Notamacropus eugenii: one gene and its partners. The protein of the gene in region 1 purifies or fractionates together with the protein of each later gene. This does not show direct contact. Links are inferred from orthologs where the notes say so. Each region holds a gene or a part of one and is shown in the gene's direction. Other genes may lie near its edges.

Region 1 (10,254 bases):
CAGACATTCCCAGATACTGGGATTACAGTAGTGGCAGCAAAAACCACATTCCCAGAACTTTACAAATTCTTTCCAGATACTCTGCCATGACCTCTAATTCCAATTTGTCTAGGTAATTATACAACAAAGAGCAAGTCTACTTTTACCCTGTCTCACCAACATATTTAGATCCTGGGGAAAAAAAATAGATGTTTCCAAAGTTATGTCTCCTTTTTCTCCTTCACCAAAGTCTGAGGGAATCATTTATATTTCCTGGGAGGAAACTCAATATATGCAGCCTATATATCTGTGGGTGAGGTGTCGAGTCTTTGGATGAATTTTAACACATTTCTCTATAATTCCTTATCTGTTTACTTTGGGACTTTTTTACTGCTCAAGATTAATATCTTTTTCAGAGGATGAATGGAAAACATCATTATAGAAGTAGGACAAGTGGAAAGGTTTAAAACCAGTGCCTGAATTTCATAGATCCATTATTTCTATATTTTCCACTTCAAAAGTTGAGAATTAACAGGAAAGAAAAGTACCTTCATTGACTTATCCCTTTTTTTACCATGTGTCAAATGAGAAACATCAGGATCATTTGCTCTGCCATAAAATATCCTCTTAGTACCAGTATCTGGATATCTGGATTTATAAAATTTTCTCTCAGTGGGTGGAGTCAAAGGCTGAGAGAGAGAGAAAGAGAATTATTATAATGAAAAAAACTGTAAACTCATAGTTCATAATAATAGAACTCTGTAACTCTAGTGTCTGTGTATAACCATAAACAAAAGTTTTGGTTGATTCTTCCATCTCTTTTCCTTCAGTGGATCCTCTCTCTTTATCTACAAACATGCTCAGGTCCCTTCTAGCCTAAAAAGAAACCTAATGGCATCCTGTACCCTTTGACTTTCTCCCATTATTGTTTTGCCACAAAATCCCTTGAAAGAATTGCAGAATATGCCAGCTATCTCACCTTTTCATCAGTCATCTCACTTCTTAGTCTTTAAAACCACTGTTGTATTAAAACTCTCTCAAGTCTGTAAGATTGTCAAGGGGTGTCCAACTGGCCAAATCCAACAACTTTCTCCTCTCATCATCTCCCTTGACCTGAAGTATGAAACCATTGATCACATCCTTCTCCTTGAAGCAGTAAGCTCTATGAGGCAAGGATCCTGGCTTCTAAAATCATTCCTACTAATCACTTTAAAGATTTACAAAATACTTTTTTTACAGTGACCTTATGAGGTAAGGAGTACATTTTTTTTAACTGGCCAAATGATTTTATTGGTTTGGGAATTCCCTGGTGAGGAAATCCCCTTAACCAATTGCTATTCAGAACTGTTCCACAACTTATAGTTTAATACAAATATGGTTAGTTCCATTTCACAGGTGATGAAATTGAGGCTTGGCAAAGTTCAGTGCCCAATCTCACAAAAACAGTAAAACCCAGAACCAAGGCATAAACATGAGGCCTTCTGACTCCAGATCAGGTATTTCTTCCCATTATTTCCCATTTCCTATTTCCTAGCCTTGTTCAATGTCCTCAACATAGTTGGTTGTTTGAACTAAATGTTGTCTGAACTAAACAGAAAACTCTCTCTTTGCTTGGCTGCCTAGATCTACATTAGCCAGATTCTTCCCCTAACTCTCTGACCATACCTGCTCTCTAATTACGTCCTCCTGGGCCACTTCTTTCTCTGCCACTTCCTAAGGCAAGCCTTTCCCAAGCTGCAGCCCCACATCTCTGACTGCTCTGATCTAAGTCTCTACTAGAATTCAAACCTATACAGCAAACTCGACAGAAATAGAACTACTTATCATCTTTCCAAAAATGATTTTGGTTAGGTGTTTTAATTTGTGACAGGGAGACAAGGATGATGGAGGAAAATGGTTTGAAAACAAAAGGCATCAACACAGCTTTTTAACAATAATATTAATTTACTATTGCACTCCCTTTGAGTCTACTTAAACACAATGAAGTCCAGAACAAAACATTGTATATTACAGTCTGTATGAGTATACGCTATATATTTATAGTTCATATATACTATATATTTAGAGCTTATACTATATATAGTATACATACTATGTATAATACGTGTATGTAATCTGTTTATGAGAAAAAGTTATAGAATTAATTATTTTTAGTGTTAACTTTTTCTGTTAAGTATCAAACATAGGAGCTTAAAGGCCATGTAATACAAGCCCCTCTTTTTGCAGTGAGAGGCATATGATCAAGAGAGTGAAAAATACAAGAACATACAGATATGCAAGTCAAGGTTTCAAGTGGAGATTACCATCAGTATGTGTCAGAGGCAAGACATGAAACCAAATATACCTAAAGCCAAGGCCAGCTCTCTATCCGTAGTGTCACATTACCAAAAAAAAAAAAAAATTTGTAATGCAATTATTGAAATCATGAACTCATGAGATCACATATTCCCATCAGGAAGGAACCTCAGAGCACAGCTAGCTCAATCCCCTCATCTTCCAAAGGATTAAACTGAGGCCCAGAGAATGGTGATTTGTCTAGTCACTCAGGCAGTAACCATTGGAAGCAGGATTTGAACTCAGGTCCTCTGATTCCAGAATCTGTGTGGTTTCTTAGTGTTCCTTGCTAACTTCTACAAACAGAACTAATCAGTTGTAGTTCATCTGAAAAATCCTACTGAAAATCAATTAACAATTTGTCTCCCCTTTACCTCTCATGTAAACAAATTATATTAGCAGCATTTAGAAAATCAATATTCAAAAGGCACTAGCATCTCAAAGGACAAAATACTATTAGATTTCTTCTAGCTGGCATGAATTTACTTAGTAATGGTTACTATCAAGAGCTGGCATTAGTATCCAGCTTTCTGGATTATAGTCCCTTGAGATGGTATTGAAAACATTATAATTTGCATTTTTTAAGTGAAGGTCAGATAAATTATGACTAGCCCAACATAATACAGTTAGAGGCCTCAAGAGTCAGACTTGATCCCTATGAGGTCTTTTGACTAATATTTGTAAAGCACTTAACACTGTTCCTAGGTACTTAATAAAATGCTTTTTCTCTTCCATCTTCCTTCTCTTTCCATTACACTGGGACTGCCACTATAGGTCATTGGCTTACAGTAGTTTGGATTTGGGTAGGAATTTAACAACGCTCTAATCCAGGGGTAGAGATTCTGTGGACTGGAGGTCACATGTGGCCCTCTAGGTCCTCAAGTGTGACCCTTTGACTGAATCCAAACTTCACAGAACAAATATAGGTCCTCAGGTATGACCCTTTGGATTGAGTCATAGGGTCATACTTGAGGACTCAGAAGGCTATATGTGGCCTCGAGGCTGCAGGTTCCCCACCCCTACTTAATTCCATCCTTTTATTTGGTAGATAAATCAATTTAAGTCCTAAAAGGTTAAGTAGTTTGTGCCAGAACTAGAATGCAGGCCTCCCTCCAGTGCTTTTTCCCATTACACCTTGAATTCTAGTATATTTGGAAGCCTCATATCACTTTCACCTCTCACCAAACTGTTAGAAGAGGAAAGCCTCTAAATATTTCCAATACCCATTTTATATAAGCTTAAGGGAGAATACAAAGAGTTAACTAAATTGTCTTGAAGGTCCTATCTAAGGCAAAGAAATAAGCAAGTATCTATTGACAATACTCACTGGAGGCCATTTTTCAGTTAAACAGGTTTCAGCTCTGTCTCCAACTGGAATAAGCTTCCCTGCCTAAAGAAGAAAAAAAAAAAGGTAAAAAAGTAAGAGATGAAAACTAAAAGGATCAGCACAGTTAGGGATGAAAGTGACTTTGGAACTTGGCCTGGGCCTGTGTTTTCAAGTGAATTACAATCCCAAGTAAAGTAAAAAATAAAATGAAACAAATGTATACATACACATATATACTAGTATATCTTCATAGAATCAAGTCATATCATATCCCCTGAAAAGGAGACTATAATGTCACTAATAATAATCTCAAAATAAACAATGAATGGAAAAGTAGAATCTCTTCAATCTCAAAATAAACAATGAATGGAAAAGTAGAATCTCTTCAATCACTTTCTTGGGTCCAGAATGGATTTTTGCTTTAGGACCATAGAACTGGAAGGGACCATGGAGTTCAACCTCCTCACCTTACAGATGAGAAAAGGGAAGCCCAGGGAGGTTTAGGAACTTGACCAAGGTCATGAAGGAGGTGAGCATTAGAGATGGTATTTGAACCCAAACGCTACTGCAGGATTCTAGAGCCAGAGCTCTAACAATGTGAACACTATTTTTCCTTTGGTTAGACTTAAATATGTCCTACTACACACCAGTGGGGCTGGAAAAAAAAAGGGAGAACATTAGCATGACATGGGGGAAAGGCAGCTCAGAAACATGGGGAGAAAATGCTGAGAAAATGAGGAGTGGGAAAGTAAATATCCAATAGGGTGAATTGGAGAGAGAAAAGCCTTTAGTGGGTATTTTAAGGAGAACAAAGACATTCAAAAATGGGTGATCAGTAGAAAGACAACATTCAAAAGGTGTATTATGGAGCTTTAATAAAGCATATCATCAAAAGAAATATGTGATTGGAAGAGGCAGATTCTTCATGTAGTCAGAGTCAGGGATAGCAGAAAGAACCTAAGTGTTGTGCTAGTGCTTTCAAAAGGTTCATAGATGAAAGAAAAGACTCTAACACACCCAGTAACTCCTTCCTGGAGAGATTATGAGAGGACATGGGCAAAAATGAAATAGAGAGGTTGATATCTGCAACAGCGAAGAGACTATACCCTACTAAGGAAATCATGGATCATGTTAGCATCCAAGGAAACAGAGATCCAATGTGGGGGCAAAGGAGTAACATAGAAAGTTTCTACAAAATAATAACTGGTGTCCATAAACCGCAATCGGAAGCCAGTGTTCTAATTTAGTTGTCATATTAAGTACACCACTGGTCCCAGAGAAAGGTAAGGGGAAGGAGTGAGTTAGAAAAGTATAGGTGTGAAAGAGGACTCAGAACTCACACATGGCAAGGCAGGATTACGGTCAATAAATTTCCCAAAATAAATGGGTCTCGGCTTATCTGGCTGCTCCACTCCGGGTTCCAAATCCTTTGGAAGCTGGGGAGCTCCTTCGGGCTTGGTCCCGAAGTCGTAAGTTGGCGGCTCTATCACCAACCCTATGGGGTCCCTGCTCTCGGGCTCCAGGTTACACATCACCCTACTGGGCAGTCCAGTCTCCGGGCTGCCCAAGGGCTCCTCCTCCTCGGGGGCTCCCAAATTCTCGGGGCAAAAGATTTTCTCTGCGAGCTCGTTCACTAAGCCCATGTTGGGCTGCGGACAGAATGGGGCTTGCGCGGCCAGCTTCTCCCGCATTTTCCGCAGATCCTCCGGGTCCCTCTCGCTGTACCTGGCCGTGGGGGGCCGGGTTGATAATCCCAAACCACTCTTCATGCCCAGGGCAGCATCTGTCTCCGCTGAGGGCAGCATGTCCCCCAGGAGGCTGGGGCGGTTGGGGCAGCGAAGCCCCGCAGAGTGCAGCTCCCGGTACTGCCCCCCGCCTTTATCCAAGTACGGCCAGTTACGCCCCTCCACGCAGCATTTCGAAGACGGTATAGGGTGGGCCTTGGGGCCCAAAGGAGGTGAGAGCTTCAGTGACATCAACCGCGGGGTATTAACGGAGCCCATGAGGCAGCCTTGCCCTGGGCTGAGAACCGGCCTTTTTCCCGGGGGGGTATTCAAGACCTCGGAGACCTCCTTCTCCCGGGGGCTCCCTGTCTCCGCGGAGTCTGATGGGGGCACCATGATCGCAGTCTCAGGTCTGGACTCCCCTCCAATCCTGGGCCGCACCAAATGACCCAGAGACTAAGGGAGAGTAACTGTTTAAACTGGTTACCTAGGGAACGGGGGAGGGCCGTGGGGTGCCCCGCCCCCTCGGGCCAGGTCTCCTTTCTCCCCTCGCTCTGGACCCATTGTGAGGTTTTGGTTTCGAGAGGAAAGGGAGCAAGTTACCTACCTGCTCCCCGCCGGCTGCCGGCTGCAGGGACAGGATGTCTCTGAGTTCCTGTTTCTCTCCTCTGAAGGAGACAGAGCTTGGAAAGGTGCCGACACCTTATGACTTATCTAACATATGGGGCTATTGAATCAAAGCTGTAGAACTGGAAGGGACATTTTTGGGCAGTGAAGCCCAACCCCTTTATTTTACAGATGAGGAAAGTGAGGCACAAAGTGGTTAAGTGACTTGCAAGCAGGATCATACGGCTAGTAAGTGTCTAAGATTAGATTTAAAACCAGGTCTTCCTGACTTCCGAGGGTAGTGCTTTTATGCACTACAATTCACTACCTGTTACAGATAGTTTTGATTCTATTAGAGAGAGTAAAGGTGTCACTTAGGAGCATAGCTTTTTAAGCAACCCTTCTTTTTTCTCTTAATTGGAATTGTTTATATCTCCAGAATTTCATTTTTGAGAACTTCCCATCTCTCCCAGCTAAACTCACCTGAACTCATTGAAATCTGCTTTCCCAGAATCTAAGGTATATGTCAGACTATACCCAGATCTCTTCTCCAGTTCTATTACATTCCAACAATCAGTTTTCCTTATTGGTGAAGGTTAGTTCTTCACCTTTTCCAGTATGGGAGGGGAGAAATCACAGGATAGGATGCTAAATTTGCATCTACATTTTTATAAAGCTAGTATACATTTCCTTTGCATTAGGGATTCCAGACCTGAAAGAACAAGCTTCCCACCCATGAAAAAGGTACCATATTTGGAGTCTGAAGACCTGGTTTGAAATTGTCATATTGTAATGAAAAGGTAAGGTAGAAAATGCTTAGAAGGCATGCTTAGATGTTCTGCTGTGGGCAGAAAGTTCTGGTAGATGTCTAGATAACTGAAGTCTTCCATCACTACATGTCATACCTCCATGTCAGCCATCTAATACTCCCTAAAGGCCTTGTCTTTTCCCTCATTCTTTTCAGATGGTCTGTGATATATTCCTATGATAGAATTACTTCTACCTCACTTTATCTTTGCCCAGAAATTGTCCCCATCACGCCAATGAACATTTATTACCATGTGCTAGGCATTGTGCTAAGTGCTAAAAAGTTACAAAGAAAAAGCAAAAACAGTTCCTGCTCTCAAGAAACTTATATTTTAATGGGAGAGACTATATAAATGACTACCTACATATAAGACACACAGAGAATAGGTGAAGTGCCCATTAGAGATGAAGGCACAAGCAGCTGGGGCTGCTAGGACTCCTAAAGAAGTGGAATTTGACTTGAGTCTTAATTGCAGCCAGGGATTCTAAGAGTCAAAGGGAGGGAGGGAGGGCATACCAGGGCAGGAAGGCATGGGGAACAGCAAGGACAAAAGTGGGAAGAATGAACATGGAATGTCTTGTGTTTGAGTAACAGCATGTGCATCAGTAAATATGAGTTGCAGAGTTCATTACAGTGCTTAAGACTGAAAAAGTGGGAAGGTGCCAGGTCATAAAAGCTTTAAATGCCAAACAAAGGACTTTATAATATTTAATTCTGGGAGATGACAGTAAGCTACTGGAGTCTAATGATTAGAAGGTGATGTGGTCAGATCTATGTTTTAGGAAAATCCCTTTAGCAGGTGCAAAGAGTTTGGAATGAAGAGAGACTTAAGGAAAGGAGACCAAGTAGAAAGCTATTGTAAAAAAAAATTAAAGGAAGAGAGAAAGAGAGAGGGAGGGAGGAAGGGAGGGAGGAAGGAAGGAAGGAAGGAAGGAAGGAAGGAAGGAAGGAAGGAAGGAAGGAAGGTGTATATCCCATTTGAAATGTCCAACAAAGTGTTGGTGATGCAGAACTGGAGCTCAGGAGATCTGGGAATCATCTGCTTGGAGATAATTAAACCCATGGAAATAGATGAGACCAACAACAAAAGACTATGGAGAGAAAAACAATGGAGAACAGAGATTTGTGACACACCCACAGTTAGTGTGAGTGACATAGATTAAAATCCATCAAAAGACTGAGAACTAACAGTCAAACAGGTAAGAAGAAAACCAAGAGAGGAAAAATGAGTTTGAAAACCAACACTACTACTAGATCTATAATCCAAAGGGATCAAAGAAAGATGAAAATGATCCATATATGCAAAAATAATTATAGCAGCTTCTTTAGTTATATCAAAAAACTGGGAACAAAGGGAGGACCCATCAACTAGGGAATAACCAGACAAATTATGATATGTGAATGTAGTGAAATAGCACCATAAGAAATGATGAAAGGGACATTTTCTGAGAAACCTGGAAGATGGGCATGATTCAGAGTGAAGTAAGTGGAACCAGTATTACAATTTATACAAAAACAACAACACTGCAAAGAAAAACAATTTTAAAAAACGAACTACGGCCAATGCAATGACCAACCTTCAGAGGACCTAAGATGAAACGCATTACCCACTTCCTGATAGAGAGGTGAGGGATTCAAGATTCAGGATGACAAATTGGACAAGGCCAATGTGGGGATGTGTTTTGGTTGACTGCAAATTTTGTTACAAGGCTTTTATTTCTCTTTTTTTTTTTTTCCAGTTTGGGGTTGGGTGGAAGGGAGTAAGAGACTAGGGATAGGATAGCATCTTCCCTTTCACCCCCCAAAAGAGAAAAGGTCACTGAAGCACTTCTGAATGTACAAAAGAAGACAGAATCACATAGCTGCAGGATAGCTTTAAAAGTAACATGTTAAATTAATTATTAAAAAAGAGAGGAAAGTTGTATATAACACATTTGAAGACTGACATACGTTCCTCTTTCTCTTCTTCTATATGGAATTGCCCATTTTATTTACAGTTTGTTAAGTTCAGAATAGAAGATATATAGATTTTAAGATGAAAATAAGGGATAGGAAGAGATAGAAAGATAAAAAATTATCATCAGATAAAGCACATTCAGAGTTCTTGAACATGGAAGTAGAAGACTTATGGATGATAAGATCAAAGGTATGAGCACTCCAATGCTGAGGTGAAATGTAAGAACACATCATGGAAGTTCACTTGATTAAGGACCTGAGAACTTTAATATGAAAGTGGGGGATTTAAGATGAAAGCATTATGGACCAGATAGATATACCAGAGAGGAAAAATGAAGGGGTGGTCAAATCTGGAAGGGATATTGGGATGTAGAGTTGAAGGGGATGGGAATGAGGGATAAGGCAGGTGATGTTAAGCGGTAGGGTTTGTTCTTCAGTAACCAGGGGTTCAACATAGAGATGGAGAGAGTAGGAGACACTGAAAGTATGTTAGCCATTAGGGAATGAGTCCACAGAAAGTAAAAGTGAATATAGCTTCATACTATACAGTATTACTCTTCCCCCAGCCCATTACCTATTCAATCTTACCTGTTTCCTTTTGAATAAGGTATATATCCATTCAGAGACATATTTCAGTCAAGGGTCTCATTCCACCAATTCAATGATTACTATGATGTCAAATTTGCCTCCTTGTATTATAAGTTCTAATTCACCTTATTTTACATACTTTTCTACAGATATTTATGGCTATTGCTTTTGTTGTTTTATCTTGTATGAATTTTGGGCTATCTTTAGTTCTAATCTTGCTGTGTCATAGCTATATACAATATCTAATTTGGGGATATATCTAAGTTGTTTTCTTCCTTTACCTTCTTTTTCAGTTTGAAGACCTTTTCATTAGACTTGAAAGACATTAGGCAATTAACATTTTTACCAGCTCTAAGTGCACTGTGATTGTCCTTTGTATATTTTAAGCTGTGATTAAGCTGAGAAGCTTTGAACAGAGAGCTATTCTCAAAGTCAGTGGAACCTGGGTTCAAATTCTGCCCCTGACATATACTGCCTGTAGTCCAGGACAAGGGCCAATGGTAATATTTCCCTGGGGTGCGCTGGTATCCTCCTTACCCCTGCAGACAGGTTTCTGACCTTGAGAATTTCTTGGTCATATCTAAGACACATGCCCTGGAAACACAGCAGAACTTTTTATTGTTGTGCTCAGAATGATAAACCATTGCCTCAGTACTGCTGATTTACAATCCCTGTAGAGGCACATCATTAATCTTTAGAAGACATGCTTGCCAGTAAGATTCTCTCCACCATTCCACCTCTAACTCTCTCATAACAAGTTCATCCTTTCATTACAAGAAGCCTGGAATATTGCAATAATTTCCTATTTCAGGTGGTCTAAGCCTTTTTGCATCATGGATTTCTTTGGCTGACCAGTGAAGCCTGTGGACACCATCTCAAATAATGGTTTTAAATAATCAAAGGAAATTAATTTTTTAAAATTTGAGGTAGAG
Region 2 (10,392 bases), on another chromosome or scaffold:
AGGTAAGGAAAGAACTTCTTACCTATTAGAATTGTACCAAAGTGAAATGGGATGCATTGGGTGGAGTGAGTTCCATCAGTGGAAGACTTTAGACAAAGGCTGGATGAATACTTACCAGGGATGTACTGAGAGTGTTCATGTAACAGACCTAAAGATGGCTAAGTTGGAGTCAGGGGACCCGAGTTTGAATTCTGGCTCTGCCACTTACTATCTATATGAACATGAGCAAGTTATTTCACCTCTGAAAGTCTATTTCCTCACCTGTAAATGAGATGACTAGGGCTAAGTGAATTCTAAGGGCCCTTTCATCTCTATGTCCATGACTCTAAGCTTAAGGTCATTTCAAAACCTGAGATCCTTATGATCCTAGGTTATAGGACAGTCAATAAGCAGCTCAAGAGAAAAAAGAACTTTCTAAAAATGGAATGTTGTCCATAAGTGGAAGGGGCTGCCTGATACTGTGCAGGTATGGGATCTGTTGGGGAGGAAACTCTGTTACAGGGTGTATGTAAGGTGAATTTTAGTTCAAATAAGGTGGATTTTAATATGTGTTAAAGGAAATTTTTATTATTATTTCTCAGAGTTCAGTTTCCCAGGATCCATAATCATAACAATCTCCTGTTCCCAGGTACTAGACATTAGTTCTCACAGTTATGGTTCAAAATATCTCCACCACACTTGCCCAGAGTTATATAATGGTAAATAATCTAAACCTTCACTAAGGCTGCACAGTGAGATACAGGAATGAGGTGATATAAAGTTGTGAGGCTATGTCTGTTGGCCCATAAAACAGGTGGTCACCAGACAATGAAGGGGGAACCCTTAGGGTTAAATGCACAAATGCTGTGTGTGCCTCAACTGGCCCCCATTGAGGCTTGAAGGGATTTAGGGGAAGCACGAGTTGTGCCTGTCTCAATTGCCCCCACCAAGATATAAGGATAATTGCCTCCTCTGCTTCTCCCTGGCCCCTTCGAGAAGGGGGATTAAGAAATTGATGAAGGCTGGAAGGGGGTGTGTGAGACCCCCACAAAGACCGGGGTACCAGAAGGAGGTTGTCTGGAGAAGAATTCATGGACTCAAGCATTGTTGAGGTCAAGGTAAAGATTTACTAAGCTTTTCAGCTGGCAAGAGTTCTTAAGGAATCTGCAGCCTTAAAGGGGTACAGAGAAAGTTTATATTTAGGAAATGTGCCAAATATGCTAACTAGGTGTTTTGGGGTGGGATTAAGGAATGGTCAGTTTTTAAAGAACATGCACTTTTGGTATCTACTGCGCAGGTATTTTACCCAAAACTCATCAAGAAATAGCCCAGGGGGGCTACCTAGAGGTGTGGTTTTAGGCCTGAAGCATCACTAAGTCAACCAACAGTCAGGGCTGGCTCAGAAATACCAGGTTGCTCTCATCAATGTCTTGTTAGACAAGTTAAATGTAAGGGAGTATCCGTATGTCTAAGTCCAGGATACACATGACTGGTCAGTGAGTAGTAAATGTCGTTATGACCCAGTGCACATCCTGTTCAGCCAGTACACAGCTGGCTCAGACTAATGAATTCTATAGGTACAGCTGGCTACTGTTGCAGGAAGCGAGATAACAGTTGTTGCTGGAGCAGGCTGTGTCCTTGGGCTGGGGAGAAACTGCCTGGGATAGTATTTTGAGGTTAGGGAGAAACGTGATTTTTAAAGAGAAATGGGATTTTAGAATTGGGGCCCAAGCACATGCACCCAAGCATCCCATCATAATCTGTAGGAGTTCATGCTCTAATTATCAGTGATCCTTTTCTGGGAAAACTAGACTAGAATAAAGTAGATTATTAATCCATTCTTAGTGCCTTTCTTGTCTGACCTGATCAAGAGTGAACCTGAGCTAGCAGCCCTCCTGTGTGCTGTGTTTATCTGTCTTATACGGGTAAATCCTATGATGGGGTAGGCTGTGAGGCCTGATGAAGTGGGAGAACATTTCAAACTCTAGCGAGCAGTCTGTAGCTCTGTGGCTTCAGCTCTAAGAGCCACTGCTTTTGTCTGCTGTCTAATACTGAAGACCATCCTCTTTGTGAAATTTTCCTGATGTATTTCTTTCTCTTTGCCTCATTAAAGGGGCCATACCCTGGCTACTTAAACAGGCCTATCCAATGAATGGGCATTGCCTCACCCGAAGTGAATACCTGCATAGAACTTGCCCTAAATGGGCCAAGGTCTCCCAGTGCATCCTGGGTCATCTCCAGTCATCCTGATGAATATCTGGTCACTGGATTCAGATGGCTCTGGAGGAGAAGTGAGGCTGGTGACCTGAACAGCCCTCCCTCACTCAGATCAAAGCCAAGTGCAAGTCATGTCATCATTTTTCTGATGGCATGGTCTTCTTTGGCAATGAAGGACAAACACAACTAAATGGAAAAGGCCTGTAGAATTGGCCTAGAGATGGAGTTTGGGTCTTTGGTTCAAGGGGAGGGGCTCCTCACCAAGCTAACAGCAGAGCAGTGAGTTTTTCAGCCACAGAAACTCATGAAGATCTACTCAAGTCAGAGAGGGGTTGTGATCTATGTCAGAGGAAGTAGGACCTGCACCCAATGAAGCTACTGGGTCCTTGAAATATTGGAGGAGTAGAAAGAACTCTGGCCGGGGCTGCAGGGCACAGGATCTCAGTTTGGATCCTAGCTCCACAGCTTACTAACCTGGGTGATCCTGGGCCTGAAGAAATGACTCTAACGTCCCTTCCAGCTTCAAATCCTATGATTGTAATCAGAGGCCTACAGCTAATTTCTCTTTACACTTAACCCACATCTGTGCTCACACTGGCCATAACTGCAGCATAGCCCTCTTCCATGGAATCTCCTCGGTTTCCTAATGGGCCTCAGTGCATCCTTTATCTCTCTCCCTTTTCTTCCTATATCCGGCAGAACTCATCAGGTTTGAGCATAGTTTTAATCACTGTACTGCTTAGAAGCCAGCATTAGGTCCCAGTTGATTCATGCACCACAATATCATTCTTGTTAACTCCTTTTGCCTTTAAGCAAATGATCTGTCATGGATTCCACTCCTCCTGCTTCCCAGGACACCTGATTCAGAGATAAGCAGTTCAATCTATTTTTGTCTCCTTTCGCCCACTTTCAAATCATAACATGGTTTAAATTCCCTTCCTACTGATCCTTTCCTTACGATAAAACGAACTCTACCCTCTCTCCAACACTCACCTTTTCTCTGGAGTCTTCCCTGACTAAAACTTTCCAGTTGCAGGAATGCTGATCATTCAAAAAAAAAAAAATCAGTCCCATTCATACATCTGACATCCTTTTTTCTTTCAACTTCCTTCATTACTCTAAGCGTGTACTTTTGTAGAAGCATAGTTGTGAGCATGTGTGAACCTAGTTTGTTTGATCTCTTTCCACTTAGGGCAAACAAGAGTATTTTCAAATAGGAGTACTATAGTGGATGAATGAAAAAGTATTTATTAAGTGCTTCTCATGTACCAAGCGCTATGCCAAGGATTGAGGATACAGATACAAAAGCAAACAGATCCTGTATTCAAGATGTTTACATTCTAAGGGGCAAAACAGCACGCAGGGGAGCAGCAGCCAAGAGAAGGCACTTTGCTCCAGAAAGTTGACAAGGATGGCAAGACTCAGAGGGGAATAAAGTGACATACCCCACTCAGGGACAATTGATTTGATTTATGGTTCATGGTTCTAGACTCGAAAACAGGGCTCAGGGAGGAAAGGAAAGGTACAGTACAGAGTAGTTGTAAAGGCTTAGAGGAGATGGTCCAAGTATAAGGAGTAAAGCAAAGCACCGCGGTTGGGGCTTTCCTGAAATTATCATCTGGGAGAGGCAGCCATTCACCAGGACACCAAGTGAGGGGTGGCTGATTTTGTAGGGTATCAAGGTAGTTGACAAACTGTCAAGATGGCTGGAGTAGCAAAAGAACTGGGTTTCAAGTTAGAGGATGTGGGTTTGAAAGTTCCTGCTTTACCACTTACTTGTAAGGTGACTTTGCGCAGGTCAAGTAACTTCCCTGAGCCTCAGTTTCCCTATCTGCTAAGTGAGTATCATACTCTTGCAATACCTACGTCCCAGGATTGCTGTGGAGAGCAAAGGACACCAGGGACATAAAGAGCTTTGTAAACTGTAAAGCGAAGTAGGTGTGGTTATTAACGTGACTTCTCCAGGTGCCTGGAACAAGTTACTGTATCTGCTGGTTGCAGTCAAAGGAACAGCTGAATGACTGAGGTTTCACAGGACTGTGCGAGTGTAACTGTATCAGATGTTTGATCTTGGGGAATTACAATAAAACAGAGGACTGGCAAAGGCTTGGCGCGGGGCTCGAGGGAAGCCAGCAGGTGAAGGGGAGGAGCGGGCACGGCAGGTACGGGACACGGACCGAGGAAACGTCCGGGGCCAAGCGGTGGCATGCTTTGTGTCGGAGCCGGGAAACCTGGGCTGTCTCCTAACCCCGCCTGCGTCACGTCTGGACGCGCTTCTTCGTCTGTAGGGTGGGGATAACGACACCGGCCCAGGCACAGGGCTGCAAAGAGCCGATGGAGCGCTCCGCGGACTCTAACCCGCTCCACGGGCGCCATTCACACTGACGCTCCCACGGCCTTCCCACACCTTACAGCCCTCTCCCATTTCTGACCCATCCCCCACGTGTGTCTGAGGCCTGGGGGCAGCCCGGGGCAGCAGAGAAGGCGGCTGCGGCCCACCGCGGTGCCAGCCTCCGGCCATGCCACCCTCGCCTGGTGTCTGGGTCTCCCGGCCCCGCTGCGCCGAGGAGCGGCCGCAAACCTGGACGCGCCAAGAAGGCGAAGCCAGGGGCGGGGAAGGGTCCGGCCGGGCCGCGGTCCGAGGCGGTCACCCGGCCGGGGCGCGCAGGGCGGACCCCTGACGAGCTGCGTGACCCCGGACAGGTCACTTAACTCAGTTTCCCCGGCTGTGAACGGGGGTAATGAGCGTGAGGGTCGGGTCTGTAAAACTTGGGGCTCAGAAAGCGCTACCCCCGCCTCATTTTACAGACGGAGAAACTGAGGCCCGACGGCCCAACATCCCCAAGATTCCGGGGGGTGGGGTCCGCGCCTCCAGCCGAAACTGATCCCAAAGTGGGGGGACCGGCCCGGGGCCTCGGCGGGCACGCCGCCCCGGCACTAGGTGTGCAGCCGCCCGCGGTGGGGGTGCGGAGGGGGAGCGGCCGGCGCGCTCCGAGGCCCCAGGCCGCCCGCCGGGCCTGGCCCTTTAAGAGCCGTCCCCCGCCCGCCTCCAAGGGGAGGGGCGCCGTCCTAGCCGGCCGCTCCGCCCCTCCTCGCAGGCGCGCACCTCCCGGGCCCGCTCCGCCGCCGCCGCCGCTCCCGCCGCCAGGCGTTTCCTGCGCCTCCCTCCGGACGCCCCGCAGGTGGGTTAGTTGGTCTCGCCCATGCACCAGCCCCGCAGGACCGCGGGCCTCCCTCCCCCGGGGCCGGCGGTGGCTTCGCCCTGCGGAGCGCGCCAGCTGCTGGACTGGTCCATGTGACCCAGCCCTGGGGGGGGAGCGGGGATGGGCCGGGCTCGGGTGGGACTCGGGGGCGGCGGCACACCTCGCCCCCCCCCCCCAGCTGTGCAGAGGTCTGACCCAGCCGCGTCCCTGCCTCCAGGCCTGAGCCACTTCCGGCAGGAAGGCCGGGGAGGGGGCGGACCGGGGCCAGGAGCGTGCGGGGACGATGGGGCGGAACTGCCAGATGATTGTCACCTTTTGCACCCAGGTCTTCCTCGGTCACCTGACTCTTCGCCCCACCCAGAACCCTGAGCCTCAGCAACATGGTGAGACCTCCCCCCTCCCACACACCCATTCTCCCCCTCCCTCTCTCCAATGGACCTTCCCCTGACCCTTGACCTTTCCGCTAATTTTCCTCTCCGACCCCTGACCTTTCAAACCCTTCCGGTTCCTACCGCCGAAGCTCGGAGGCGAAGCTCGGAGGGGAAGCCCGAAGCCCCCCGGCCCCTCCAGCCCCGGGCGCTTAGGAGGTGACCATGGACGGCACGGGGGATCCGGGAGGCTTCAGGATCGTAGCCGCGCCATCGCCCCCCTTCGTTTATCCGCAGCACGGCCGCCTGAAGGTGAAGACCACCGAGGAGCAGGCGGAGGCCAAGCGGCTGGAGCGCCAGCACAAGCTGAGGCTGTACCAGGAGGCCACCGAGGCCATCTTCCAGAAGGTGGAGGCCCCGCCCCGGGGGGGGGCTGTCAGAAGGGGGGGCATCATCAGAGAGTGGGGGGGTCATCTGAGAGTGAAGGGGCCGTCAGAGAGTGGGGGGGTCACCAGAATGGGGGGGTGAATCAGAGTGGGGCGCCATCTGAGAGTGAGGGGGCCATCGGAGAGTGGGGGGGCTGTCTGAGAGTGGGGGGGGCCATCGGAGGGGGGGGCCATCCGAGAGGGAGGCATCAAAGTGGGAGGCCTGGGGGGCTGAAGAGCCACCAGGACAGGACCACCCAACGGGCTGTCCCCTTGGTTGCAGCGACAGGACGGCAACCTGGATGAGTCCATCTTGGAGCTGACCAGCCAGATCCTGGGGGCGAACCCCGACTTTGCCACCCTGTGGAATTGCCGCAGGGAGGTGCTGATGCTGCTGGAGACCCAGAAGTGCGTTTCTTCCTGGGGGGGCAGGCTGGGCAGCTCGGGGGACCAGGGTGGGGGGGCCTGTTATCTTTGACACTGGGGAGTCTGGATAGGCACCCCCAGTCTGGCCCAGCGTGGTGCTCAGGCTGCCCAGAGCGATGACACCCAAGCGGAGCCGACCAGAGCTTCCCTACAGACAGAACTGGGGAGCAGGACGAGGAGAGCCAGTCTGCCCCACCCCCAAAGAAAGGGATGTCAGTGCTGGCTTCGTGGAGTAGAGTGGAGGACAACAGGGTTTGGGGGTGACAGGCAGTACCAGCAGCATGGCCTTACATGGGAGATTTAGGGGGAGACCCAGGGTTCACTGTTATCACCTTTTTGGCACAGGTCCCCTGAGGAGTTTGCCTCCCTAGTGGCAGCGGAACTTGAGTTTTTGGAGAGCTGCTTACGGGTGAACCCCAAGTCTTATGGAACCTGGCATCATCGCTGTTGGCTACTTGGCCGCCTCCCTGAACCCAACTGGACCCGTGAGCTGGAGCTGTGCGCCAAGTTTCTGGAAGCTGATGAACGTAACTGTACGTTCCCCACAAATTACCTGATTTCTTAGGCCCCAGCCCAAACCAGAAAGTTGGGATGGGACTCCTGAGCTGGTTGGTAGAGTGACAAGTGAGTAGATTTCTGCGTGTGTGATGTGTTCCCATAGGACCAAGTAGCACCCCGGATGATAGTTCTGGGAGCTAGGAGTAGGGGTGCCCCCCAATCAGCCCCGGATCTGAGATACGTTGCTATCCACAGTTCATTGCTGGGATTACCGCCGGTTTGTGGCCCAAAAGGCACCTGTGCCACCTGAAGAAGAGCTAGCTTTTACTGACAGCCTCATTACTCGGAATTTTTCCAACTACTCCTCCTGGCACTACCGATCTTGCCTCCTGCCCAAGCTGCAGCCACTGCCAGATTCTCAGCCACCAGGACGCCTTCCTGAAGACGTTCTACTACGTGGTGAGCAGGGTGTTTGGGGGCTGCAAGAATCAAATGGAAGGAAGGGAGAAATAAAGAATAGTAGGTCCCAAGATATAACCTCTAATTCATTTTCTGGTTCAGAAATTAAGAAAGGTTACAGTTATCAGGGAAGGATAGATAGAAACCTAGGGGGCTCTGGGAATTGTAGAATCAGGAAAGAGTGGAGTTCTGAGGTGAGGTCAGTCAGTCATTTTTGAGATGCCTGTTATAAGGTTAGCAATGTGCTGGGCATTGGGGGTAGGTAGTATATAGAAACAGAAAAACTACCGAGTTTACCATTTAACTAAAGAGACAAGTATGTGAAACCGTATTGAATAATTCAGAGCAACGTATATCTAAGTGTTGAATGGTGGTACAGACAGACTCTAAGGCCAGTTTGAGCGAGAGGGGGGTTGTTGCCTCCCATGAGCTAGAGGAGGGGCAGCAGAGCTTTCATGTGGAGTTAGTGAGGCCCTTGAGTCCTAATGACAACCTCCTTTTCTTATGATCCCCGGAGAGCTGGAGCTGGTACAGAATGCCTTCTTCACAGATCCCAATGACCAGAGTGCCTGGTTCTACCACAGATGGCTTCTGGGGCGAGGTGAGAGGTGGGGCCAAGGCCACAGGGAAGCTTTTGAGCTGTTTGGGCATCAGGTGAAGCGAGCTGGAACTGAATGCCACTACTTCACCTATTGTTCTTTTACCCCTGCCCACAGCTGACCCTCAGGATGCCATTCGCTGCCTCCATGTGAGCCGGAATGAGGCTTGTTTGACTGTCTGTTTCTCTCGGCCCATAATTGTGAGTTCTCAGGACATACATGAGACAAGAGGGGAAAGAAGGAGTAAGGTTGGGGGGTGGGGTGGAGATGGGGCTTATGTGTTTTCTACCTTGTGTTTTGTCACGCAGGTGGGTCCTGGCATAGAGACTATGATGCTTTTAGTGGATGAGTCTCCCCTACCTGTGGAATGGAGGACACCAGATGGCAGAAAGCGGCCCAGCTATGTCTGGGTATCCCCTTCCAGACAGACACACACACACACAGACACACACAGACACACAGACACACACACACAAACACACACACACACACACACACACACACACACACACACACACACACACACACACACACACCTCTGTCCCCCTCCCCCGCTTGATAGGTTGAGAAGTGAGGGACTGAAAAATGGATGAATTCTGTAGCATTTCCTTGACCTGGCTCATTCTAGCTGTGTGACCTGCCATCTGACTCCCTTAACGAGCAGTGCTCTCAGCATTCCTTCTTCCTGATGTGGGGTGATGTCCAGAAGGAATGCGTACTTTACAAAGGTGATGGAGCTCTCCCTCGCCCCTCCCCCTTCTCTTCAGCCACTTCACTGCCACTTCTCCAACCTCTTAGGGATGTTCTCCCTGAAAATCGTTCCCTACAGATTTCCCTAGAATATTTTATTTGACTCTCATTTGTCCTTACTACAGTCTACCTCATTCGTGTATATGTCTTAACTGCTTGCTCTGTATCTGTTAGATTGTAAATGCCTTGAGGATAGGGACTGTGCTGTCTTCTGTTTCATCTTTGTGTTTTCAGCTTCTAGGAAACTACGTTGCTTGTAATAGGTTTTTCATAAATGTGTGACCCCATGTACCCTGCCCCCATCAGATTCTTTCATTTCTCAATTCCTTCTCACAGACTCCCTTCCCTTGTCCTAATCTATTCTCTAGGTCGAAAAGAAAGTTGGTGCCGAGACTCTGCCACAGATGAGCAACTCTTCAGGTGATGGAAGAGATAAAAAGGGATCATGTCTGAGGGTTTTGTGTGTTGGGGGGGGGGGGGGTTGGAGAACCAGAGCAAAAACTAAAAACTTGGGGGCAGGCATTCCCTAGGATACTTGAGACCTTGGAGTACAGGAGGGTGAGGAAAGGTGGGTATGTGTTCCTCATCCCTCCATTACTCTGCCTGTCTGTCAGAACGGAGCTATCAGTGGAGAAGTCAACTGTGTTACAGTCGGAGCTGGAGTCCTGTAAGGAGCTGCAGGATCTGGAACCAGACAACAAATGTGAGGTCCCTCTCTACCCCCAACAGCCTGCCCCTTCAGGGAGCTCCCTCTCCTGGAGACCTTGCCTTTCCTGATGGATGGATCTTGGGCAGTGGGAAGAGTTAGACGGAGGAGGAACTAGGGATAGACTCTCTGCCCTGCTCCCTCCTCCACCACCATCATCCTCACTCTCAGGGTGTCTATTGACTATCATCCTGCTGATGCGGGCTCTGGATCCGCTGGTGTATGAGAAGGACACTCTGAAATATTTTCAGACCCTCAAGGTAAGTGGAAGAGTACAAGAAAAGAAAGTGGGGGACTTAAGCGTTGGAGCTCATTTAGGGCCCTGAAGAAGCACAAGGAAGGGTAGGGAATGGGGGAGTGGTCAGTTGACCCTTCTCCCTCTATCCCTTTGGCAAGGTAGCGGACCCAATGCGAGCTTCTTACTTGGATGATCTTCGAAGCAAGTTCTTGATGGAGAACCACATCCTCAAGATGGAGTATGCTGAAGTGCGAGTGCTGGACCTGTCTTACAAGGTAGGCTGCCCCCTCCCCGACAGTCTCACCACTCCCCTTGCTCATGAATCTCCTTGGCCCAGCCCCTGACCTTGCTCCTCCAGACTCAGTCCTCATTGACACTCAGAAAACTCATCCGTATTCTCTGAGCTTGTCTTTCTGTTTTGAAAGTCTCTTTTTTATTATGAATGAATTTAAAAATCATTAAAAAACACAGACATACCCATATGCAAAGAACAAAATGTAAAGTGAACATTATGTACTAGGCAC
Region 3 (10,763 bases), about 180 Mb from region 1:
TGATTTTTTTCATAATGATTTATGGCTTTCAAAATTGTGTTGTCAGACATTTTTAAAAACTCAAATGATTTAACCATGTTGCTTCAAAGAAAGAATTGTAACATATTTCTGTCAAAAGATAAAATTGAAAATTTTACTAAAAAAGTTAACATTTGAAAGAATAGGGTGGAAAATAGTTCTTTAGAAATGTTTACAACTACAGACGATTATATAATCAAAAATAACTTTTCCAAAGATTTAATTGTGAGTTATAACTGATCATCTGAAATGTCTAGAGACACAGTTTTGAAATACTTCCCTTCAAACTGTGACTTTAAAAAACTAAGTTGAGTTCATAAACTGTACTCAAATGAAATAAAAATGTAAGTCATCTGCCACTGAAAGTTCAAGAAGAATTTACTGAGTTACCAAGTGGCCACAGGTTTAAAACTTGAGTTCTCTCAAAAAAATCATTGAATGAATTTTGGTTTGGGATTACGACAAAATCTCTAACAATTTCTAAAATGGTCCTAAACATGCTTTTGCTATTTTGTATTATGTATTTATGTGAAGTAGCATTCTCAGCACTGAGGATTATAAAATCAAAAATATCCATCAACTCTGAAAAATGTTGAAAATGCTCTACCTCCTGCAGTATCAAATATTCTGCAAAAATTTAATTATTTATGTAAAAACAAACAAGCACATCATCCCATTAGTATGCAAATTTGTTCATCTTTAATAAATAGTAAAATTATATGTTTTGCAAAGAATTGTTTTAAAATAAATTTTTTATGATTTATTATCAAATAAATGTTTGTCAGAAATGTTTGATGTGATCAGTAAGTGTATCTTATTTTATATACCTATATGTCACATAAAAATTTCTCAGGTCATGAGTGGAAAACATTTAAGAAGCCCTTTTCTAGAGTAATGGTGTTAAGCTCAAATAGAAACAGGGGTCACTAAACCTGTGGGCTGAAAATCAACTCAGTTTTAAACTGCAATATTATATATGTTTTATTGTATTTTTATATATTTTTGTTAAATATTTCTCAATTACATTTTAATCTGGTTTGGACCCCACTTGGGAGTGTTCTGGACTGCATGAAGCCTGTGGACTGCATGTTTGACACCTCTGTTCTAGAGGTCCTTCTACCATTTGAATGCTTTTTGTGCTTTTAATGAAAAAATAGGAGTAGTACTAAGAGGAGGAAGAGGAAGAAAAAAGAAAGAAAAAGAAAAATTTTTTAAAGTCAAAACAAAACACACAGAACAATAACAAAAGAAATTAATGCCTCTCCCTCCCCCCATCACCCCTCCCCCCCACAAAAGTTACCATAGAGAAAAAGAAAAAAAAATGCAAGAAATCTTTGACTTTCCCTATTCACTTCAGAAGGACCAAATCTCAGATCTCAAAGATCTGGGTAATTCCAAACATTTGCAGTTCACTGTGAGTCACATGTTGCAGCTGATGACTAGAAACAATACCATTAGGAACATGGGACAGATGATGAAACTTCCAATACAGTCACACACAGACTCTTCTCCCATTGTAATGATGTGTGAGAATGATAAGAACATCAGGGACACAGCACTGATGATGACGCTTCTGGCATAGCTAATAATTCTTCATCACATGTCAGTTATCCATAGAAAGTGATTAAGAGATAATAAACTTCTCTCATAAAACCTGTCCAGGACTAGCTTGATACCCAGACTTTCCCCCATAGCACCGCCCACCTAACTCAATATTCCCTGGCACACATGCTAAAAACTCCCCCTTCCTGGGAACCACATTAAGATCCGTCAGTCAGTTAATTAGTCAATAAACATTTATTAAGTGTCTGCTGGGTGCCAGGTACTGTGGTAAGAACTGGGAATACAAAAAGAAGCAAAAGGACAGTTCTTTCCCTCAAGGAACTCAAAATCTATATACAAGTAAGCTATATAAATAGGATAAATAGGCATTACAGAAAGCATTGGAATTTAGAAGGGGTGGGAAAGACTTCTTTTAGAAGGTAGGATTCTAGTTAAGATTTGAAGAAAGCCAGGGGAATTTGAAAATTCCAGGAGGTGAACATGAGGAGGGGAAGCATTCCAGGCATGGGGAACAGTCAGAGAAAATGGCCAGAGATAAGAAATTAGGGAGGGGGGGATGCGGAGAAGGAGAGCTATGCTAGGTTATGAATGGCTTTGAATACCAGAGAATTTCATATTTTATCCTAGGAAGCCACTAGAATTTGAGTTGAGGAGTGACATGGTTGATTGAACCTGTGCTTTAGGAAAACCACTTTGGTGACTGGAGGATGAAATGAAGTGAGAAGAGACTTGAGGCAGGTAAATCTACCACAAAGTTATTGCAATAATCCAGGTGTGAAGTGATGAGGGCCTGCACTGGAAAAGGGGGCATATATTTGAGAGATGCTGCAAATGTGAAATTGACTGGCCGTGGCAACCAATTGGATTTAGAGGGTGAGAAGTAGTGAGGACTCAAGAATGATACCTAGGTTGTAAGCCTAGGGGATTGGGAAAATGGTGTTATCTTCTATAGTAATAGGGAAGTTAAGAAAAGGGAAGGGTTTGGGAGAAAGATAATGGGTTTAGTTTTGGACATGTTTAGCTTAAGACGTCTACTAGGTATCTAGTATGAGATGTCTGAAAGACAGGAGATAGAATGGAGATCACCAGAGAGGTTAAGGCTAGATAAATAGATTTGAGAATTATTAGCATAAAGATAATTAAATTCATGGGATCTGATGAGATCACCAACTGAAATACTACAACAGTATAAGAGAGCCCAGGATGGAGCCCCATAGTACAGTGGGACACATACTGCTCGAGGACGTGATCTGGATGAAGATCCAGCAAATGAAATTTTCCTCTTCCTCTTTCCTCAGTAGAGAGGCACAGCAGGAGATGGAAGACCTGAGGTCAGGGGGAAGCGTTCTCTTCTTCACATATGAAGGGAGGTGGGTGAACAGGCTAACAGGTGGAGCAGAAGGTAGAAGTTACCTTGTGCTGGTGCAAATGGAAGTCTCCTCCAGATAGCCCCTAGGAATCTAAGCCTGGAAATCAGGCCTGGCCAGCATTAGATGGAAGATGTGGTCAGAGGGAGGTCATTCCTCTTCTCACCTGCGGCTGGAGATCAGGTGTGAAAAGCATGAGGTAGAAGATAGTCAATACACATTTATTAAGTACCTACCAGTGCCAGGCACTGTACTAAGTGCTGGGGATGCAAACATCCTTTTTGTAGATGATAAAAAATTCCTTTCCTCCAAGTAAATATACATTCACTATTGTAGGTGCAGCTAGTGGACCTGCTGGTGGTGCAGGTCCAGTGTTGGGATGAAATGAGGCATCCTAAGTCACTGAACATTTAACAAAGAATTAACAGAGCAAGAACATGCAACAAGGAAGAAATGACACAGCTTCTTGCACTTTCCTTTTGTCTTCATCTGGAAATGAGTCTGTTCAGTATACCATCTGTCCAGGGTTTAGTGACTTGCAAGATCTTAGGCACTCACCAAGTCTAAGAGTCTCAGACTTCAAATGGGTGGGACTTTTTATGCCCCAAATGATCCAGAAGTCATGTCAGGGAAACTGAGGCAAAACTGTTATAAGGGACAACTTTGTCCTGTCAGATATATAGCAAGGCACCTTTCAGCAATACCACCTACTTTTCCCCTTAGGTGTTGTCAAAAGCACCCCAGAGGAAAGAATATCTACCAGTCGGGAGGGAAGTTGTTGTTCAGTTGTTTGAATTGTCTCCAACTCTGTGACCCCATTTAGGTTTTCTCGGCAAAGATAATGGTTTGTCATTTCCTTTTCCAGCTCATTTTATAAATAAGGAAACTGAGGCAAACATGTGACTTGCCCAACGTCACACAGTATCTGAGGCCAAATTTGAACTCAGGGAGATGAGTCTTCCTGACTCCAGGTCTGGCACTCTATCCACTGTACCACCTAGCTGTCCTGTTGAGAGGGACCTAAGCTATTTCTCCAGGACATTCAGAGCCCTCTGACAGGGCAAGGACCACAAGACTCATGCCACTTTGTGCTGGGCAAGAAAGCAGAAGGACAGCTAGAACTATGTCCAAAAGCAGTCCATTCTTATCAGGTAAATCTCTGGAGACTAGATGCAGGAAACCACTGGAATAGAGGGATCTTCCCCTTCCTAGAATGGTATTAATTCATCACGAGCATGATTTCTGGGTGGTCAGACATCTGACCTGGGCAGTCAAGTGCATGATAATGGAGATACTGGTTGGCAGGAACAAACTCCTTGCCCTAAGATTGTCTATGAGGGATAATGATTTCAGGTGGGTATAGGCTGAAGACCACTTAGGTGAGGTAGTTATTCCAAAACACAGAAGTTCCCCTGGGCAGTAACATCAGCCAGAGAGTAAGGAGTCAAGAATTCAAGCTTGAATAACTGGGAGGATAGTGGTATCTTTGACAGTAACGGGGAAATTAAGAGAATTTTGCGGGGACAGATGGAGTTCATTTTTGGACATGTTGAGTTTAAAATGTCTAAGAAACCCACAGAATTTGAGATATCCAAAGGGCAATTGGAGATATAAGACAGGAGGTCAGGAGAGACATCAGGGCTGGATAAATATCTCTGAGAATTATCTGTAGAGAGATGATATGGGAACTGATGAGATCACCAAGAGAAGCAGTTTAGAGGAAATCTTCTTGGCCCCAAAACAGAGGTTTTGAGAGAGATATTCATAGTTAGTGGGCATGACCTGAGTGAAGATGCAGCAAAGGAAATTGAGTAGGAGCTATGACATAGGAAAGAAGAGATCCAGGAAAGAACACTATAAGGAAAACCTAGAAAGAAGAGAGTATTAAGATGAAGTGGGTCATCAATAGTCTCAGAAGCTGCAGAGGCAAGAAGGTTTGAGAAAAGGTCGTTAAACCTGGAAATTAAGAGATTAGTGGTACTCTTGGAGACAGCAGTGTCAGTTCAAAAACTGATTCTGGTAAAAAACCGGATTGCAGAATTAAAAAGAAATTCAAAGGAAAAGAATTAAAGGACTGATTATAAATGGCTTCTTCAAGGAGTTTAGTCACAAAAAGGAGAAGAAATATAGGATGTTGGCTAACTGGTATGGTTAGCTCAAATGAGGGTTTTTTGAGGATGAGGAAGATATGGGCAAGCAGCTGGAAAACTGCCAGTAGACAGGGAGAGACTGAAAATAACTGGACGGGTAGGGTTAGGGTGGGGCACCATGTTGGAGATGGAACTGGATTGCTTATGCAGGTAAAGGCATTTGCCTTGGTAAGTCTTCCGGTGGGACAGGTCGGAAGGGGAGTTTGTGGCAGAAAGCATCTGAGTGATATGAAGAAGACAGAAGAGAGACGCTCACAGTAAATGGCCTCAACTTTTTCTTCAAAATATGAAGCTAGGTTTTCAGTTGAGAGTCTAGGGGAAGATGGGAAGTTTGAGACGGGAAGAAAACGTCTGGAAAAGCTATAATGGTGAGTGGGATAGTGAAACCAATAGGAAAATGTAAAAAAAATTGATTGCATTGCCATAGTGAGGACCCAGTTGAGAGTAAAACACAAAAATTTGTCATGGACCAGTCGGCAACCAAATTATCCAAGGTAAGTTTTCAGAAAGTCACTCTTCTGATTCCATTAGTTCCATCAGCTTCTTCCAACATCACTTTATAGCTTCGTAGGTCTGTAAATTGAGAATTTCTCTGCCTATGCAGATACTTCTTGCAAGAGGGAAAGTCTGCCATGAAAACCAAATTAAAAAAAAAAAAACCCCAAAGGCAAGTAGAGGATGTTAAATTTCTTTTAAACTGCAGAGTTGCCTACTCTACTACAACTGCTTATTTTTATAGAAAATCATTCTAGATTATATCAATTTAAACTGAAGAGCCTGTTTTTATATGAGACCCGCTGCCTTTTTTACAAAAGATTTAAAAAATTTTTCCTTTGAAATGCACATTTGCTGTTTCTCCTACTCTTCCTGGGACAGGCAGAGTAAGGGACTTTGCACTTTGAAGCAGGGAGGGAGTCACATAACAGAACCGAGGATCCTGGGCTGCAGTCTGCTGCCCAATCTGTCCACTTCACCGGCTCCTCCAGCGCCCTATTGCCTTCCATCACGCTGCACTGGCAGCTATCCTCCGAGTCAAACCTTTCATTTAAAAAAAAGGAGAACGAAGCAATCCTCCCAAGGTCACAGTTGCCAGGTTTGTCCCCATCACCCGGTGCATCCTTTCCTCCCCTCCCCCCGAGTCCAAGAGGGGACTTAGAAACAAAGGGGAGCTCAGAGTCCAAGGGCGAGCAGCCGCTGCAGGGGCCACAGCCAGACCATTGGGGCCGCTGCCAGATGCCAGCGCAGCGCTGCCCCGCCCTGTCCCTGAGGGCCCGGGCGCTAAACCAAGCGTCAGGCCCCGGCCCACTGGCGGGCCATCTCCGCCTTTTCCCACACCCACCACGCTAATCCCTCCAGCAAGCAGAGCTTGAAACGGGGAGGGCGGGAGTATGGAGAGAGGAAGAGATTCGGAAAAGGAGGAGCTCAAGCCTCGCCCGGTGCCGCCTCCCTCTCGCGTGGAGTGAAAAGGGAAGTACAGTAACGAACGAGCCCGGCTCAGCCAATGAGAGCGCGGCAAGAGAAGCGGAAGGCCCGTGATTGACAGCAACCAGGAGCCGCTCTCTCCTCCAGAGTCCGCCCCCTAGGCTGCAGCGGCCGCCCCGCCCCCTTTCCTGCTAGGCTCCTCCTGCTTACTCTTCCCGCAGCCCTCGCTCCTCTTCTCTCCTCTGTGGCAGTGGGCGGTTTCTCCTCCTCCGTGCTCCATTTTATATCTTCTTTCTGCGCTCGCCGGACGGCGCGTGGGGCTTCGCTACTCGCTGCTTTTGGCTTGTTTTTTCTCCCTTTCTAGCTCTTGACCCGCCTCCCCTTTTTTTTTTCTCTCTTCCCCTTTCATCCTCTGACTCCCGCCATGAATGAGGAGTACGACGTGATCGTGCTGGGCACCGGCCTCACGGTGAGGACGGGGAGGGGGAGGGGAGGGGAGGAGGTTGGCCCGCTGGGGGTGGGGGCAGGCCGTGACCGCCCGCAGCGGGGGAGGGGAGGAGGCTTCGCTCCCGGAGGGCGTGAGCAGCGAGGGGGGCAGGGAGGGAGAGGGGCTCCCCTGTCGGGAGCGCGCGTGGTGCGGCTCGGGCCCGCGGACCGCGGCCCCCGCCGCGCCTTCTAACGCCCGCTTCCTCCAGCTTCCTGCTTTTATTTATTTGGCCGTGTCGGCGCCGTTGGATCCGACACGCGCACACGTACCCGGAGCTACGGTTTGATTGGCGTCTCTGTCCTTCCGTATTGAAGGACCCCTGGAGGGGGCTGCTTGTCCTGTGATCGCGGAGCTCTTGGATCTGGCAGCTTTTTCCTTCAGATGATGAGCTTTTGGGAAAGGCTGCCCCGGACACTTAAGGTTTTCGGCAGTTGGGGACGAGGACGCTCAGAGGAGCATAAGTGACCGTGTCCCCACGTCCTCGTGGCAGCCTCCCCTGCCCCTTTTGTAGGAGGGTCCAGGAAATGGTTTAAATCAGTGAAGCGGAGGAAGAGGTCTGGAATTAAACGGCCTGCTTCCTGCAAAGGAGAGGAGACTCGAATAATTGTAACTAAACTGAATTCCAAGCCTCTTGTGACTTTTTCCCCCTTTGGGTTGATGACCTCTCCGGACGGGAGGCAGGGTGGAAATGGTTCCTTCAGTGACTAAAATTCACTCCCCTGCAGCAGTGAGCAGGCAAAGGGCACTGCATGATGTGAGAAGCGATGGTCAGCGAATTCTGAAAAGGTCTAATGGGGGCCAAAATGCTGCGCCGAGTTTGTGGGGTTTGGCAGAATCTAGTTGCCCCCCTTCTCACTCTGGTGTTTTGGGGATGCCTTTCTTACTGCACGTTTACAGGCGAGAAATGAGAAAGACTTGCTGTTGATTTTTTTTTTCTCGTTTTCTTCTATTTGGTCTTTTCTCTTTTCTACTAAGATGTGGGTTAATGAATAGTAAAAGGCACAGATAACCCCATGACAGCTTCTTAGGGGACTTAGAAGAAAAATCAGTATATGTCTATGTGAGTGCTTTCTTTACTCCATGAATGGCTTTGCCTAATTTAAATGGTTTGTGTGGAGGAAGGGGACAAAAATGTGCTTTTAGGTACGTCCTTTAAGGACTCCTATGTTGTCTTTTTTCCCACCAGAGTTGAATATACTTCATATTTTAGCATTCCCATTATTGCATATTTTTCTCAAAAGATTATGGCTCTTTTTAAAAACATTTTAAGTTGGATAATTAGGATCCCATGAATGCTACAATAGAAAGATATCAATAAAAGGCTTTTCTGTGACCTTGGCCTATTTTATTGAATTTCCTAATTGTTCATACTTTGGGGTAACTTAACTCAGCAAAAAAAAAAAAAATACAGAAAAAGTAAATAAATTCTCTCTGTTACATATCATTTTACAGTTTATTTTAAGCTAAATAAATATTTGTTGACTGGATGAACAAATTAGTATTCATAAGAAAAGCAGTGTTGGAGGACAGAGTGGAATTGATTTGAACCTCGCTTTTGTTTTATAATCAGTAAGCAATATTTGAATGTATTTTGGTTTTCGGGTATCCTCTAGAAGACATACTCATATACCAGTATTAATCACTTTTGATTGATGTTAAAAGGACAATTTTCAGTTTTCATTTGATTGGTTAACCATTTACAAAATAGTTACTAAAAATTAATGTATTGTTTTTCAGTCTATCACTTTAATATTTATATTGATTTTTTGTATTTGTATTCCTCTCCATCACAGTGGATCAGACAAACTAAAGTTGCAAACTGTAGCTATCATGGGGATTGAAAAAAGGGGTACCAATTATGAAATTATTTATCGGAAAAATCTTTTTAATGATTTTTGAATTTTAGAGATTGAGTTGAATCTCTGTGTGGTATATTGGGAAACGACCAGACCTTTAAAGAAAGCAAACTTGTACACAGTTGTGGTGGGTTAGATCAGGTAGCAAGTGCATAGTACTAAGTCCATCATTTTGGACTTAGTTTCTTGCACAAACCTTTATTTTGCTCTGTGGTTGTGGATTTTCAGTGTTTTTCACTTAAAAGGGTAGGCAAGAGTCAGCATGGGTTCATCAAAAAACATGCCAGACTAAAGTCATTTACTTTTAGTGTGAGGGTAATTAGATTTGGAAAATGCTTTGGATTTGGAGTCAGGAGAGATTTGGTTTTGAATCCTGACTGACATTTACAAGTTGTGTCACCATCAAGCAGTTCACTGAGTTCCAGTGTTCTCTGTAAACTGTAAAAATTATACCTGTAATTTTTACCTCACAGGGTTAATATGATCTTCAAATAGGAATATGAAAATGCCTGAGATGCATCTTTTGTATTAAGAGTCTGGAACTACAAAGATAAAAATTAAATATATTGTGCTCACTTCAAGGAGTTTACATTTTATTGTTGTTCAGTCATTTTTAGTTGTGTCTAACTTTTTGTGACCCCCATTTGGGGTTTTCTTGGCAAAGATAATGGAATGGTTTGTCATTTCCTTTTCCAGCTCATTACACAAATGAGGAAACTGAAGGAAACAGGGTTAAGTGACTTGCCCAGGGTCACACAGCCAATAAGTGTCTGAGGCCATATTTGAACTCAGGAAATGAGTTTTCTTGACTGTCAGCTATGCCTCATTTAGCTGCCCCTTACATTTTATAGGAGGAGATAATAGGTACAACACACATATATAAGGTCATGCAAAATAAATAGAAGGTAATTTAGGGAAGTGCTAGCGCAGGGGTGGCAACCTGCAGCCTGGGAGCCACATGTGGCCCTCTTAGTCCTCAAGTGTGGCCCTTTGGATCCAAGTCTAGATCCTCAACTACAGCCCTTTGACTTGAATCTGAAGTTTGGATTCTGTCAAAAGGCCATACTTGAGGGCTTCAAGGTTTCACATGTGGCTTCAAGGTTGTAGGTTCCCCACCCCTGTGCTAGATGTTAGGAGCTAGGGGAATTGGGGAAAGACATTGAAGGTGATATTTGAGCAGAGCTTTGAACAAAACTCAGAATTCTAAGAACTAGAGATGAGGAAAGTACAATCTAGGCATGGAGGAAAGCTTGTTCATGGCACCAAAATGGGGTGTCTTGTTTGAAGAATATCAAGATAATCAGGTTTAACCATAGTGTGTTTGAAGGAGAGCAATGTATTATAAGACTGGAAAAGTAGGTTGGAGTCAGGCTGTGAAAGGCTCTAGGTTGGGAGTGTTTAGTCTGAAGAAAAGATTTAGGGCTTATATGTGTTAGAAATCTTTAAATATTTAAAGATATTCATATAGATAAAAGACATTAGGCTTGTTCTGCTTAGTCCTAAACATAAAAATCCTAATGATGAAAGTTACCTAAAATTAGAATGCTTTGCTATTCTCATAGCATGGTGAAATGGAGAGAGAGCATTCTTCAAAGTCAAGAAGACCTGGCTTCTGCCTTTCACACTGAATGGCTGTGTGACCCCTGGCAAGTAACTCAGCCTCTCAGGGCTCTAGGCAGCTCTTTTAGGCTGTAAGTTCAGAGACAGTGCCAGCCTGCATTGGTAGAGGAAATTTCCTCACCTAGAAAGAAGTTAACCTTTACCAGTGAAATCACAAGTCCACTTCCCATCTCTATCTTTATATTCCTGTCATTGGAGATGTTGGAATGTTATAAAGCTGGATTTATGATTTGGGTAGGTGTTAGACTTACGCGACTTATGAGGTCCCTTGTTTGGTCAT

The links.
Region 2: the proteins of RAB5A (region 1) and RABGGTA purify together in Homo sapiens (affinity purification with mass spectrometry; 3 studies listed by BioGRID and IntAct, counting the BioPlex papers as one, with this or other methods). This does not show direct contact. The link is inferred for Notamacropus eugenii from reciprocal best matches to the Homo sapiens genes RAB5A and RABGGTA.
Region 3: the proteins of RAB5A (region 1) and GDI2 purify together in Homo sapiens (affinity purification with mass spectrometry; 3 studies listed by BioGRID and IntAct, counting the BioPlex papers as one, with this or other methods). This does not show direct contact. The link is inferred for Notamacropus eugenii from reciprocal best matches to the Homo sapiens genes RAB5A and GDI2.

Annotation. Positions count from the first base shown.
Region 1 is NC_092874.1:34,213,873-34,224,126, reverse strand, and holds the start of RAB5A (ras-related protein Rab-5A), read left to right. Parts: upstream 1-5,934; 5' UTR 5,935-6,056; intron 6,057-6,671; 5' UTR 6,672-6,770; intron 6,771-10,254. Other genes in the region: EFHB (EF-hand domain-containing family member B), read right to left, coding at 528-668, 3,641-3,703, 4,981-5,760. UniProt on the Homo sapiens protein: The small GTPases Rab are key regulators of intracellular membrane trafficking, from the formation of transport vesicles to their fusion with membranes.
Region 2 is NC_092878.1:9,005,408-9,015,799, forward strand, and holds the start of RABGGTA (geranylgeranyl transferase type-2 subunit alpha), read left to right. Parts: upstream 1-5,242; 5' UTR 5,243-5,378; intron 5,379-5,724; 5' UTR 5,725-5,779; coding exon of another isoform or gene 5,780-5,782; intron 5,783-5,919; 5' UTR 5,920-5,992; coding exon 5,993-6,175; intron 6,176-6,475; coding exon 6,476-6,600; intron 6,601-6,963; coding exon 6,964-7,151; intron 7,152-7,371; coding exon 7,372-7,575; intron 7,576-8,092; coding exon 8,093-8,176; intron 8,177-8,291; coding exon 8,292-8,374; intron 8,375-8,482; coding exon 8,483-8,584; intron 8,585-8,802; coding exon 8,803-8,902; intron 8,903-9,292; coding exon 9,293-9,344; intron 9,345-9,538; coding exon 9,539-9,627; intron 9,628-9,801; coding exon 9,802-9,890; intron 9,891-10,026; coding exon 10,027-10,143; intron 10,144-10,392. UniProt on the Homo sapiens protein: Catalyzes the transfer of a geranylgeranyl moiety from geranylgeranyl diphosphate to both cysteines of Rab proteins with the C-terminal sequence -XXCC, -XCXC and -CCXX, such as RAB1A, RAB3A, RAB5A and RAB7A.
Region 3 is NC_092874.1:209,606,779-209,617,541, reverse strand, and holds the start of GDI2 (rab GDP dissociation inhibitor beta), read left to right. Parts: upstream 1-6,607; 5' UTR 6,608-6,944; coding exon 6,945-6,989; intron 6,990-7,163; exon of another isoform or gene 7,164-7,793; intron 7,794-10,763. UniProt on the Homo sapiens protein: GDP-dissociation inhibitor preventing the GDP to GTP exchange of most Rab proteins. By keeping these small GTPases in their inactive GDP-bound form regulates intracellular membrane trafficking.